4 linked regions of the Saccharomyces cerevisiae S288C genome follow. Changing the gene in region 1 together with any one later gene gives a genetic interaction. Each region holds a gene or a part of one and is shown on either strand. Other genes may lie near its edges.

The links.
Region 2: mutations in NAM8 (region 1) and TGS1 are lethal when combined (synthetic lethality), as found in Saccharomyces cerevisiae (4 studies listed by BioGRID, with this or other methods).
Region 3: mutations in NAM8 (region 1) and MUD1 together harm fitness more than expected from each alone (negative genetic interaction), as found in Saccharomyces cerevisiae (4 studies listed by BioGRID, with this or other methods).
Region 4: mutations in NAM8 (region 1) and YHC1 impair growth when combined (synthetic growth defect), as found in Saccharomyces cerevisiae (4 studies listed by BioGRID, with this or other methods).

What each region holds. Positions count from the first base shown.
Region 1 is NC_001140.6:276,568-280,281, reverse strand, and holds NAM8 (Nam8p), read right to left. Parts: upstream 2,130-3,714; coding exon 558-2,129; downstream 1-557. Other genes in the region: YHR086W-A (uncharacterized protein), read right to left, coding at 1-51; IPI1 (Ipi1p), read right to left, coding at 2,514-3,518. UniProt on the Saccharomyces cerevisiae protein: Component of the U1 small nuclear ribonucleoprotein complex (U1 snRNP) involved in the initiation of meiotic recombination. Involved in the formation of DSBs at recombination hot-spots through meiosis-specific splicing of REC107 pre-mRNA.
Region 2 is NC_001148.4:252,812-256,292, reverse strand, and holds TGS1 (RNA methyltransferase), read right to left. Parts: upstream 1,480-3,481; coding exon 532-1,479; downstream 1-531. Other genes in the region: pheromone-regulated protein PRM4, read left to right, coding at 1-380; AIM44 (Aim44p), read left to right, coding at 1,983-3,481. UniProt on the Saccharomyces cerevisiae protein: Catalyzes the two serial methylation steps for the conversion of the 7-monomethylguanosine (m(7)G) caps of snRNAs and snoRNAs to a 2,2,7-trimethylguanosine (m(2,2,7)G) cap structure.
Region 3 is NC_001134.8:477,581-480,858, reverse strand, and holds MUD1 (Mud1p), read right to left. Parts: upstream 1,522-3,278; coding exon 1,514-1,521; intron 1,425-1,513; coding exon 536-1,424; downstream 1-535. Other genes in the region: CBP6 (Cbp6p), read left to right, coding at 1-424; TEF2 (translation elongation factor EF-1 alpha), read right to left, coding at 1,812-3,188. UniProt on the Saccharomyces cerevisiae protein: Involved in nuclear mRNA splicing. The principal role of the U1A is to help fold or maintain U1 RNA in an active configuration. It is the first snRNP to interact with pre-mRNA.
Region 4 is NC_001144.5:724,157-727,201, forward strand, and holds YHC1 (Yhc1p), read right to left. Parts: upstream 1,261-3,045; coding exon 565-1,260; downstream 1-564. Other genes in the region: YLR297W (uncharacterized protein), read left to right, coding at 1-277; ECM38 (gamma-glutamyltransferase), read left to right, coding at 1,913-3,045. UniProt on the Saccharomyces cerevisiae protein: Component of the spliceosomal U1 snRNP, which is essential for recognition of the pre-mRNA 5' splice-site and the subsequent assembly of the spliceosome.

The sequences.
Region 1 (3,714 bases):
AATTCGCCGTGCCCCTATACAGAGACAACATGAATAGAGAGACAAACGCATTACGTAGTCTTGGAAGATAGCGCAACGGGAAATCTTGACACAGTAAGAAACATTTACAGTATAATAATACTAAAAATAAAATTAAGATACATCAATATAAAATTTTCGACAAATACAGAAAAGAACAGAGAAGAAAAAATGAAGGTGACGCAAAAAAGGAATTGACAGGCCGTAATGAGTAGTGATGGAAAGAAGGTAAATGGAAGTAATAAAGGAAAATCATAAACATGCTTAAAAGCGTACAATCTTGAATTGAATTAAGAATAACAATAACCTTGAAAGAAATGAAAATCAAAAGGAAAAACGCAACTATAACGATACAAAAAAGACTTAATAAAAGGACATGGAATCTTGAAAACGATAAAAAGCAATGAAAAAAAGAAAATAAAGCGCTGTTATATCACCGTCAGCCTAAGACCAAATACAATTTAACACTGAAGTAAAGAAAATACCAAGAAAGAAAAAGGGCCAAAAGGAAAACAAACATTTTTATATACACGTGTGGCTCAAGCAAACATAAAACCATTACTGCCTTGTTCCAAACGGTTTAACATTGCATTAGTGCTGTTAACAACCGCTTCGCTTCCTTGCATGATAACTTGTTGGCCACCCGTGCCTGAGAGGTCCATAGAGCTAGTGTCAGCCAGTAAACTAGTAGCTTGCGTATTTGTAGCATTATTATTACTGTAGAAACTGAAATTGTTCGAGCCTAATCCATTCGCATTAGCGTATGGATTAGAATAATTCAGAATTTGACATCCAGGAAGCATCGTGGATGAAACATTATTATCTGGCAGAACAGGTGCTTCACACGTACTGGATGGAATGTATCCGTAGTTAGGTTGCTGTAAACCTGGTTGCTGTTGTTGAACCTGTAAAGAGTTACTTAACATGGCTTGCTGAAGCAACGCTGTTTGCTTAGCAGACCTGCCCCAAGACAGTCTAACTCTTGAATTTGCAATGGGGAACCCTTGCATCCCAGCAATGGCAGCCTCAGCCGATAGCCGATCAACATACTGGACAAACCCGCAACATTTGCCTACCGGAATTTTGACATAGACTATCGTGCCAAAAGGTTGGAAATAAGCACGTAATTCGTCTTCAGTCACCAGTGATGACAATCCTCCGATAAACACAGTGGTGTTATTCGGATCAGTGAAGTGGTTTAAAGACGGCTGCTGTTGGACTGGATAAATGAATTGAGACATATGGTTTCTCTTAAAGCCCATGTTATTATTTCCATTGCTTAAAAATGATTGACCCTTGGAAAGAAATCTCGAGTCTACATTTTCGTTGTTTAGTGACGAAGAACTACGGTTGTAATCGTTGTTACCGCTGACATGCTGCTGCTGACCAGATGTGGGTCCTACTTTTATGGCTCTACCATTTAAAAATACGCCTTGCATTTCTGACAGAGCTAACTGTTGTTCATCAGAATTGGTAAACTTTACAAAACCGTAGCCCTTAGACATCCCGGTAACCTGGTCGTGCACAATTTTGGCATGAGAAGTAGAAGCATATCTGTTAATGAAAAGTTCAAATAATTGAGACTCTGTAACATTTGGTGCTAAGTCTCCAACAAATATAGAACAGTTGTTACCACTCTTCACGTTGTTAAGAGAATTGTTGCTGTTTGAATATGAGGATGTAGCCCAGTTTAATTTCAATTTTTTATTTGGAAAATTGGGTATAAGCATACCATTCTTTAAAAGTGCATTTGCTGCATGAGTAGATGAGGGAAAATCAACAAAGCAATATCCTTGATTATTCTTTGGACCCATTGATGATCTCGACCCATTATTAAGCGTATTATTCCACATCATCCGGACATTAATATTCGCTTCTCCCAGAGATGCCCAAATTTGCCTAACGGTATTCTTATCCCATGTAGGATCCAAGTCGCCCATGTACAATTGGTTACCAGTGGTCCCTAAACTCACGTTAGATGCGCCTTGAAGACTCAATACGCTTGTACTGCTATTGTTGGTTTCTGAGGAAATAGTATTAGTGTACGGAGATGAGTCGTTTCTTACCAGATTACCCCTGCTAGGATAATATGTTGTTTGTTTATAGGACATTTGTACCCGCAATGTATTAGGAACTTTTGACGGGATATAGACACGAACTTAATCGACTAAGCTGATAAAATGAAGGGAAAGTAACCTAAGGGCAAAGAATATGGTTCGGTGTTTGACTACCCGAATAAGGTCACGTCGATTTAAATGTTGTCACTAAAGGAAAGCTCTGATATAAGGATGTACGCACACACAATTTCACCACCAACTCGAATCTGAATAATCCCTGAAAAGCCCTTCCCTTTGTGCCAATAGTATTTGAAAAATAAACAAACTTAGATCTACTTAAAAAAAATCCAAGATTCTGCATTTTTCGCCCTGCCTCTCCTGAGGGTAACAAAAAAAAAAGTACAATCTATCAATTATATATTGTATTCTTATGAAACGTCAATCAAAGATTTTTGCAAGCAGCGTTTTAAGCTTGTTTGCACTTTTACCACATTCACCACCTTCCTTGATAATTACTTCGATTTTCTTACGTACTATAGGCAGGAATTGTTCGATAAATACCGCTTTTCGAGTATCGATATCCTGTGTTGCCAATGACAGTAGTGTGGCATTTACTCCACTGGAGGTAGCATCCTGAACTTTCAATTCTCTGGTAAATAGTTTCAAGTGCTCAAACGGCTGCGGATAATCTGGGATTAAATATGGGTTTCGTAGCGTACCGCTGTCCTCTGTAGTCTCTGCCGTGTCTCCGTCGCTTCTAGCGCGTTCATCCTGACATCCGTATTCAACAAGAGTGTACAGAGCATTGAGATGAATAGTGACATATTTGGCGTTTCGCTTCTTCGTTTGCACTATGCTAGCGCTATCATTTTTCCCTACCTGTCCCCAACCGAGCACTCCAAAGACACCGTTCAAAAGTTTTACCCAAGATTTCCTAACCACTTCATCTCCGCAATACTTCAACAGATGAGAGAGAAATTTAGTAGAATCTGCTTGAATTTGTGTAACAATATGTGTCATTGCCATGTTAATGTATAAGACAAAAATGTTGCAGTGCAATTTTAAAATCTCCGCATCGTGACTACCTATTTCATCTACGAGATCAATAAGTCCCTGACGTACTTGCTGCGATTCATCGCAAATCAACGGTATACTTTGAGTAAGTAATGGTGTCATAAGTCGAGATTTTATTATAGACGGTATTGACTTTTGGAATGTTGTTAATGTTTCCTTTCTCACATTGATGTTATGATGCTTTAAGAGCGTTAGCCGTTTTGTTAAATCATGTGGATTTTGGTCTAAATGTTGATTTCTAATAGAAATAGTCTTGGAAACGAAAGATGTATCGGTAGCATTCCTTGCTTTTTCCTTTGGCTTACCAACTTTTAACTTTTTTCTCAAAAAATCCTGCTTTTTTTGCTTCTGCTTTCTTGATTTTGTCATTTATTAACTTTGTTTATCTCTGCACCTTTTTCTTTTTTGATTACAACTTTTAACTATTATGAACATCGATGCCTTCACCTTATAATTAGGAATCTCGCTTTTTCTGGTGGAAAAATTTTCCGATGGCCTTTGCCATTCTGAAAAATAAAAGGCAATACTACGTTGGTATCAAAATAGTGGATAAACACATATTGTA
Region 2 (3,481 bases), on another chromosome or scaffold:
ATTTTCTAGATATAATAAGAACCTCTCCAGCGGTATTATTCATTAAATCATCACAAGCAGACTCCATTTTCTTAAAAAATCTATTACAAAGAGAATTTGAGATTTCACCCGAATTGGCCACTGTTGATTTGGAAAAACACTCTCATGGCTATGAATTAGAAAAGTATATCAAACAAAATAAACTAAATATCGATACTAGTGCTGCCTTGGAATCCATTCAGTCGCCTTATTTATTTTTGAATGGTATTTCCGTGATAAATCGTGGAATGGTGAGAGATATAATCGAACCTCATTCGAAGGGATTGCTACTACCTCTTCTAAAGTCTGAAGCGCGTGGCAACTTGCTGGTAGAAAAAAAAGACATCCCTTCTAATTCTTAATTTGTTATCACTCCTATCGACGAGCAGCCGCAGCTAAAAGAACGTTTTAATTATTCCCAAATTCACGTAAGCGATCCTCTTTATGTGCTATATATACATTCATAACATAGTCATTGCATTTTCTATCATACGATTCAACTTGAACAAGTGTTTAACCATTTACGTCGTAAATGTCTACAGTATTATCTTTGGTCGTTGTTGTGGATTCATGCTTTTTTCTTTTCGAGAGCTCTTCGTTTTCAGAACTCAGCTCTTCCTTTTCGGACGACTCCCTTCGACTATTCTCCGTACTTGCTGGTTCGTAGTTAAAAAAGCATTCCCCCCACATGCAAAATATTCCTTTCATATATCCATTCTCCTTTACATATAATACTTTACATTTGGCAAATGGACCTAGTACTTTCCTCGTAGCTCGAGAAAGCTGGTTCAAATCAGAGTTCCTTGGCAAAAACATAATCACATTAGGGCTTAGTTTAAGAAAACTTTTCAACATCTTGGTAATCCCCATAGGCTTTAGATGTTGCTCTAAGTCATACACATCGTTTCTTAAGTATTCTGGACCACCCCACGGGGGTGATCCAAATACACAGTCGTACTTTATTTTGGAAAGTTTCTGCTTAGAGACTAGCTTTTTCCAGGATCCCCGCTTCAGCCATATTCTGTCGTCCACACCGTAGCTTTGGGCGTTTTTCGCAGTACAATATATGTGTTCAATACTGTAGTCCACTCCATAGACGTAAGGAAATTGCATGGCAAATTGTATGGTGTTCCCGCCCCCACCACAGAAAACATCCAGTATTCTTTCGGCATTTGGCATGCATGCCTTAACAAAATTTGCCAGGAAGCAGGCAATTCTTTCGGGCGTCACACTGAACCACAGCTCATCAGTCATATATATCGACGCCGAATCTATCTTTGAAAACAATCTACGCCTATTTTTCCAGTATTTGAAAAGTTTACCATTTTTCAACGGTTTTGATGATTCTATCTTATAGGCATCATTGTTCAATAATTTGATCAGAGTTCTAAAGTTGGAATGATGTTTTCTTTTGCGTGCCGCATGTTTTATTTTCGAAGCATGAATAAATGTCCTTCCCATCACTTCAGTTAAATCAACAAAAATTTTTTCTTCTACTTCTGTCTGTTGCCCCCACAACACGGTATATAATATGGGCAATCAATACAACGAAAAACTTACTCGCTGTTTGCGGAATAACTCACTTCCCCTTCATATAGTTTGGTGCGATGCCTTAGAATTTTTCATACATTGTTTTCATGTGGAAAATATTCAAAAAAAGCGATGGCTGGCGAAGATAAAAAAAAGGCTGCTCCAGCCATTCATTACACAGGCAATTCAATATTTCGGTTAGTAAGATAAAGAAGTCGATATGCCTATCCTTAAACATGTTCAACTGGGATAACCAGATTGCTGGGCTTTCAGCAGGTCATCAATTCTTGTACAAATATGTTGTATATATAGATTTAAGTGCTTGATAATTCGGTTGACAACTTAACGGCTTAACAAGTAAAACAAGAACAATTAACTTAACAATAGTGCTCAAATAAATTTGGCTTATTATCACAACAAATATATCATACGGAATGATCATCAGAGCTCCAATAAGGACAAAAACCAAGTCGTTTAGAGGCGATCAAATGGATTTTAAATTCCCGTCTAACGAAAGTTTACCAAGAGGAACGCTAGAAGAGTACCATTTGAATAATCATCATCTTTTAAATGATGTGTTTGCAGCAGAAAATGGAGTTTCTCGCGATGAAGACGGAAACTCTCAAACATTATCAGACTATACATCCACTTCCAATACAAATACAAATTCCGGTTATTCATCAAATGGATACTATTCATTTGCTAACATTTCTGACAATACTACGTCTTCACCACGTATTGTAATCAATCAAAATGAAACCGCTAGATTAACTTCCTCAGACTCGAACAAAAGTGACTTTTTTGCTTCTCATGACTTCCCAGGAAATGACTCTCTTCATTATAGCAGCTCAAATGTAGTTAAAAACCAGTTACATTCAATGGAAGCTATTCCAGAGGGAAACATAACTGGCTCAATCTCAACGGCATTCCAGACTATCCCAACAGCAGATAATGTTTCCTACGATATCGCGCCGTCATCAGCATCATCGTTATTACCAAGGAAATCGACATCTAAAAGCGCCATTCTGCCGTCGACCCAAGAAGCCAAACCGATGACCAAATTAAATATGGAAAAGGATATAAAAACTATCGAATTAAACAATAGCGTAGTACCGAAACCTAAAAAAAAGCTAAACAGAGTTCCGACCATAAGACGAGTTGAATCCTCGAGGTTTTCCAATTCCAGGTATAGTTCAAGTGTCAGCAGTAAATCAAGTAGCAGTCGTTGTTCTCTAAAACGATCAAAAGCTATTAGATGTAAGGGCGGACTCTTATATTATTTCACCTCATTGGGAATCAAGATAAAGAAAAAGTTACGGAAATTACGGCTAGTTTTAAGAAGAAGACTGTTTTCATATAATGTTCAAAAGGTCCCCTCCGCCACGAATTCCAAAACCACTAAATCTAAAGCAAACATTAACAACAAGTCAAAAAAAAGAGGGACGAACCTAGTCAACAAAAACAGCAACTCTACTCCGCGTCAAAAAAAATCGCAGAGATACGTCTCTAATTTACAACGGTCGATCTCATCAAAATCTTTAGTACCTGTATTGGCTCCACAAAAAAAGACTAAACCTTTGACAGTTGATACGAAATTTAAAGCAAACCATCCCCAATCTGAAGATTCCAAAGTTGGATCAAACACCCCAAGGAGCCCTTTGGTAAGCTATACTCCATCATTGAGAAGAACAAATTCCTCTATTAGAAGGGCTGCATCCATCCTAACCGCATCTGCCACTATGACACCGGCAAATAATAAAAACTCCTTCATTTCTGTACCGGATAATGTTAGTCATGCCGTCACTCGCAACAGCAGCATGTACTCGAGGTCAAGATTGGTAAGGTCAAAACCATCGACGGCCCTAAATGCAATTGCAAGACAGCCATCAATTGTGGTAGAAAATAAAGTTATTCCGTTATCCATGAATCGATA
Region 3 (3,278 bases), on another chromosome or scaffold:
AAAGGATCGTATACACCACTTGGTCTCATTCAGGGATGTACAAATAGCAAGATTTAGACGTGTAGCGGGTCTGCCAAATGTAGATGACAAAGGAAAATCTATAAAAGAGAAAAAACCCTCATTAGATGAAATAAAAAGTATAATTAACAGAACTTCCGGTCCATTAGGACTGAATAAGGAGATGTTAACCAAAATTCAAAATAAAATGGTAGATGAGAAATTCACGGAAGAAAGCATCAACGAGCAAATTCGTGCCTTGAGCACTATAATGAATAATAAATTCAGAAACTATTACGATATTGGCGATAAGCTCTATAAACCTGCAGGAAATCCCCAATATTATCAACGGTTAATAAATGCCGTTGACGGTAAGAAAAAGGAAAGCTTATTTACTGCAATGAGAACTGTATTATTTGGTAAATAAAGAGCACATTATTTTCTAAGCTTGTAAATACATATTTATTCATAATGGAGAACGTTATTCAAATTTATCTGTGAATTTCTTTACTCGAGGTATACTTCCGCAAAGGAAATTCTACTTAGCAAATCCTATGGTAACGTCATTGTTTTGTAGCTTGTAAGTGGAGCCTAACTGATTCTTGATTTTCGTAGCATCAGCAACGGTCTCGTATTCCACGAAAGCTAGGTTACGAACGCTAACTAATCTGATTTCAACTAAAGCCTCATTGCCAAGTATTTGCGACAATAATTGCTCGGTAGTGCCGCTTGGCAAATTTTGTATAAGAAGGACTTTGTTCGGTGGATTTTCCATTGTATTGGACACTTTAGCCCGCTTAAGAGGTTTCTGCGATTGTTTTAGATTTTCTTGCTGAGACTTCATGTTTTCCAATCTACGGGTTTCAAATTCTTTTACAATCCTATCAATCTCAGCCTCCTCTACCTTTCTTGATCTCAGCTTATGCTTCAGGCGTCTTATTTGCCTTTTAAGCCTGAACTTTTTGGCGCATATATCATCACTACGTAACTTGCGTTTAAGTTTCCTTGCTTTAAGCACCTTCTTTATATCAAGGTTGTACGTTTCGTCATTACCTTTTTTTTTTTGCATTTCTATTGAAAGACCCAATAACGAATTTGTTCGAGCCTTTCCCATTCTCACTTTACGACCTTGAACTTTTAATGCTGTTGTCGTGTATTTTTCTAGAAACCGGTCTGCTTCTTCTTGAGTGACAAACGTTAAAAATGCTTGGTTAGTCATCTTTGATGATCTTGAAATAGAAACTTCAAGAAGGCCCATTTGATCATCTAGTAACATCAGCGGTTGTGATGATATTTGTAATTTATTGTGGGGAAGGGGTAGCGACGGATTAATGGCATACTTGTTGTTGGGATTAATGTGTTTCAGAAGTAATCTGGTATAATTTTCTTTATTTGCTGGCCTACTGGGTAAATTTTGAAAGTACAGTCTGTTTTTATTGGTCATAGAGTATAGAATAATGAAAACGTTAGTAGAAAGAAGATTTAAGGAAACGTAAATTACAAGGTATATACATACGCTGACATGGTTTCTTTAGGTTTGATGAGGCCGTCTTTTGTTGATAGCAGCTTTTTCCATTTTTTTTTTTTTTGTTTCGAGTAACGTATGGTTTAGTATCTGTCTTCTCCTTCTCTTACAAAAAAACCCTTTGTAAAATAGTGCCGAGTTGGAGGACATCAATCTGATGGGCAAGAAAACACCAACCCCCCCTATATGAAAAGAAAATGATAAGCAGATAGATAAAAATACTTAATTAACTAATACATAAAAATAAGAGGTATATAAAAATATTATATGGAAGCAATAATTATTACTCTTATTTCTTAGCAGCCTTTTGAGCAGCCTTGGTAACCTTAGCGGCCTTTTCAGTCTTGTCAACAGACTTGATAACACCGACAGCGACAGTTTGTCTCATGTCTCTGACAGCGAATCTACCTAATGGTGGGTATTCACTGAAAGCTTCAACACACATTGGCTTAGATGGAACGAACTTGACCAAAGCAGCGTCACCGGACTTCAAGAACTTTGGATGGTCTTCCAACTTCTTACCAGATCTTCTGTCGTTCTTTTCCAACAATTCGTCGAATCTACAAGCAATGTGAGCAGTGTGACAATCCAAAACTGGAGAGTAACCAGCAGAGATTTGACCTGGATGGTTCAAAACAATGACGGTAGCGTTGAAAGAAGCGCAACCCTTTGGTGGATCGTTCTTAGCGTCACCACAGACGTTACCTCTTCTGATTTCCTTAACGGAAACGTTCTTGACGTTGAAACCAACGTTGTCACCTGGAACACCTTGTTCCAATTGTTCGTGATGCATTTCAACGGACTTGACTTCAGTGGTAACACCAGCTGGGGCGAAAGTAACAACCATACCTGGCTTGATGACACCGGTTTCAACTCTACCGACTGGCACAGTACCAATACCACCGATCTTGTAAACATCTTGCAATGGCAATCTCAATGGCTTGTCAGTTGGTCTAGATGGTTGTTCAATGGCGTCAATGGCTTCCAACAAAGTCTTACCCTTGACGACACCGGCCTTGGTTTCCTTTTCCCAACCCTTGTACCATGGAGCGTTGGTGGTAGCTTCAATCATGTTGTCACCGTTCCAACCAGAGATTGGGACGAATGGAACAGTCTTTGGGTTGTAACCAACCTTCTTGATAAAGTTGGAGGTTTCCTTGACAATTTCTTGGAATCTGGATTCGTCCCATTTGACGGAGTCCATCTTGTTGACAGCAACAATCAATTGTCTAACACCCAAGGTGAAAGCCAACAAAGCGTGTTCTCTGGTTTGACCATCCTTAGAGATACCGGCTTCGAATTCACCGACACCACCAGCAATAATCAAGATAGCACAGTCAGCTTGAGAAGTACCAGTAATCATGTTCTTGATGAAATCTCTGTGACCTGGAGCATCAATAACGGTAACTTGGTACTTTGGAGTTTCGAACTTCCACAAAGCAATATCGATAGTGATACCTCTTTCTCTTTCAGCCTTTAACTTGTCCAAAACCCAAGCGTACTTGAAAGAACCCTTACCTAATTCAGCGGCTTCCTTTTCGAACTTTTCGATGGTTCTCTTGTCAATACCACCACACTTGTAAATCAAATGACCGGTAGTGGTAGACTTACCAGAATCGACATGACCGATAACGACAACGTTAATGTGAGACTTCTCTTTACCCATGTTTAGTTAATTATAGTTCGTTGACCGTATATTCTAAAAACAAGTACTCCTTAAAAAAAAACCTTGAAGGGAATAAACAAGTAGAATAGA
Region 4 (3,045 bases), on another chromosome or scaffold:
ATTATTGACAAAGATTTTAAATTCGGATGAGAAAGCAAGCGGAGATGTGCACACACTCGTTTCTGGGACCCCGGATCTCTCAAATTTTAACCTCGATAATGAACCACTGGAAAACATACTCGCTGTTTTCATAATATCTTTTATTATTGTAGTGGTTGGAGTTTTACTACTTGGGTTGATTGGCATGATATTCATATCTCTCCGTTCAGGCAGCAGTAATGATAAGAAACTACAGTCCAACGATGAAGAAAAGCAAGCACTTGCTGAAAAAGCATGAAATAAAAATAGATATAATAGATGGCACCGCTCTTCACGCCCGAAAGTTGGACATTTTAAATTTTAATTCTCATGATAGTAACGATCGTGCACATTCAATTAATTATCGCATACCAAACATTTTTTTTCCTTTTTCAATTCAACTAATCTCAATTTTTTAATTTTCCTTTTTTTATTTCCTTTTTTTTTATTCTCATCATACCATTTTCATTCGTTGTTGATATCTCTATTGTTTTTTTTGGCAAAATATAGTCTACATATAATATTTAATAATCTAATCTGATAGCGTTAATTTCCATACCGCCTCCTTTTATATCCGTTGGCACTCGACGGTTTCCGTATGCCGTCGGAATGCATCCGCTTCTTGGACTCCTTGATCGTGGTTTGCAGTATATCTACACTGTAAAATATAGAAGTTTTTGGAATGGTGTTACTCCATTGTGATAATATCTTTGGGGGTTCTAGCTTCTTTGGGTTATTCAACCTAGGAAATGGATTGCTCTCGCACGTCTCATCTCTGGATCTTGAAGTTTGCTTGAAGGAATGGTGTGCAGATTTTTCATTGGCTCTTTGGGGTAATTTGCTGGCTTTAACCAAATCTCCTATATCAAACCTGTTAGCATCCACAAATACTTTGGAATATCCTGGTGAGCCATCGTATAACAATTTCAAGGTATCTATTGAGGTTTGTGCCAGTTCTTTTTGGTTCATTTTCTTCACATGCATGATGTGTCTTTTCTCCTTATTTGAAAGGCATGTAACTTTTAGCGTCTCATTTTGACTACTGTTTTCTCTTTCTTTCCTGCCTCTTTTTCCAATGTGGCGTCTTTTATGATTATGTTTATTAATAATGTCTCTTGCTTTGTTCCTATAATAGTCAGCTGTTATACGAAGGTGATTCTTACCGACCAAGTGCGATTTACGAACGCTCAACGTGTCATGGGTCAAATACGAATGACAGTATTCACAATAGTATCTCGTCATTGCCTATCTCTTTCCTCTCCGTTACTTGAGCACCTTCATCGCCTACACTAGGAGCTCATATTATATCTTCAGTATAGCAAGAATATTTTCTGTTATCCTTAACGCTTACCCGCCTATGTACCTTGACACTTGCGGAAATCTAGTGTTCAATGATAAGGTACTGTGTGGAACATATGAAAGTGAAAAGAGTTTGAACCGTTTATTATCTCTATACAAGTGTCTCTATTCACATATAAAAGAGTGAAAATAAAAATAACTTTTAAGATTTTATTACCTACATGAGATTAGAAAAATCATAACTATATTACTCAGCGGCTGTGCCTGTTGTTGATCAAAAGAAAAGATCCGCCCCTTCGAACGTCTTAGTGCCGCCTTTTGCCCGCTTATCAATTTTCTCTGAGGGAACATAACGGCATTTATCTATTCGACTTCCAAATCTACATACACGTATATAGATACATATATATATGTGTGTGTGCGCCTGTGTGTACTAGCACTTCTCAATATTATAATTCTTCCGTAAAGTTCGATCGTGACTTCCTGTTGCACAGTTATCTTAAATAATAGAATAAAAAGCTAACGCAGATTCAAGTGGGGCGTTGTCAGGCACACAAAAAGACAAGACAAAAAGTAGCGTACTAGACTTACAGTTATGCTGTTGTGTAATAGAAAAGTCCCCAAGACTTTAAATACCTGTTTTATACTGCATATATTCACTCTGTTAACACTGGGTGTGTTAGTGTCCGGAATGCCGTCAAAAATGGTATCATTCGCCTCTCAGGAGACTTTGCAGAGAATAAATAATCTCCTTCGAGGGTCTGCCAATCGAGATGTTGACATTATTGCAGAATATTTGAAAAAAGACGACGATGATGATGGCGGCGATAAGGATCACCATAACATCGATATTGACCCTTTACCTCGCCGTCCTAGTTTAACGCCTGATAGGCAACTTCTAAAAGTCGGTTTGCATGGTGCTATAAGTTCAGATTTAGAAGTCTGTAGTAATTTGACTATAAATGAGGTACTCCTGAAATTTCCCGGTTCTAACGCTGCAGACGCTGCAGTAACACAAGCTCTTTGTAAGGGTATGGTGAATTTTTTTAATAGTGGGATTGGAGGTGGTGGCTACGTAGTTTTTTCTGGCAAAGACGATGAAGATCATCTATCCATTGATTTTAGAGAAAAAGCACCCATGGATTCACATAAGTTCATGTTCGAAAACTGCTCTCTATGCTCAAAAATAGGGGGTCTTGCTGTCGGTGTTCCAGGTGAATTGATGGGTCTCTATCGCCTCTTTAAAGAAAGAGGTAGCGGCCAAGTTGATTGGCGTGATCTAATTGAACCAGTCGCAAAGCTGGGAAGCGTGGGTTGGCAAATAGGCGAAGCACTCGGTGCCACTTTAGAACTTTATGAGGATGTTTTCCTGACATTGAAGGAAGATTGGTCGTTTGTATTGAATTCTACCCATGACGGTGTTTTGAAAGAAGGCGATTGGATCAAGAGGCCGGCACTATCTAACATGCTAATGGAACTGGCTAAAAATGGTTCCGTGGCCCCATTTTATGACCCCGATCACTGGATTGCAAAATCCATGATTGATACTGTCGCAAAATACAATGGAATAATGAACTTGCAGGATGTTTCATCGTATGATGTTCATGTTACTAAACCACTGTCCATGAAAATTAGGAAGGGCGCCAATTTCATCCCTGATAACGATATGACCGTATTAACAAGTAGCGGCTCAAGTTCCGGGGCTGCACTACTTGCGGCGTTAAGGAT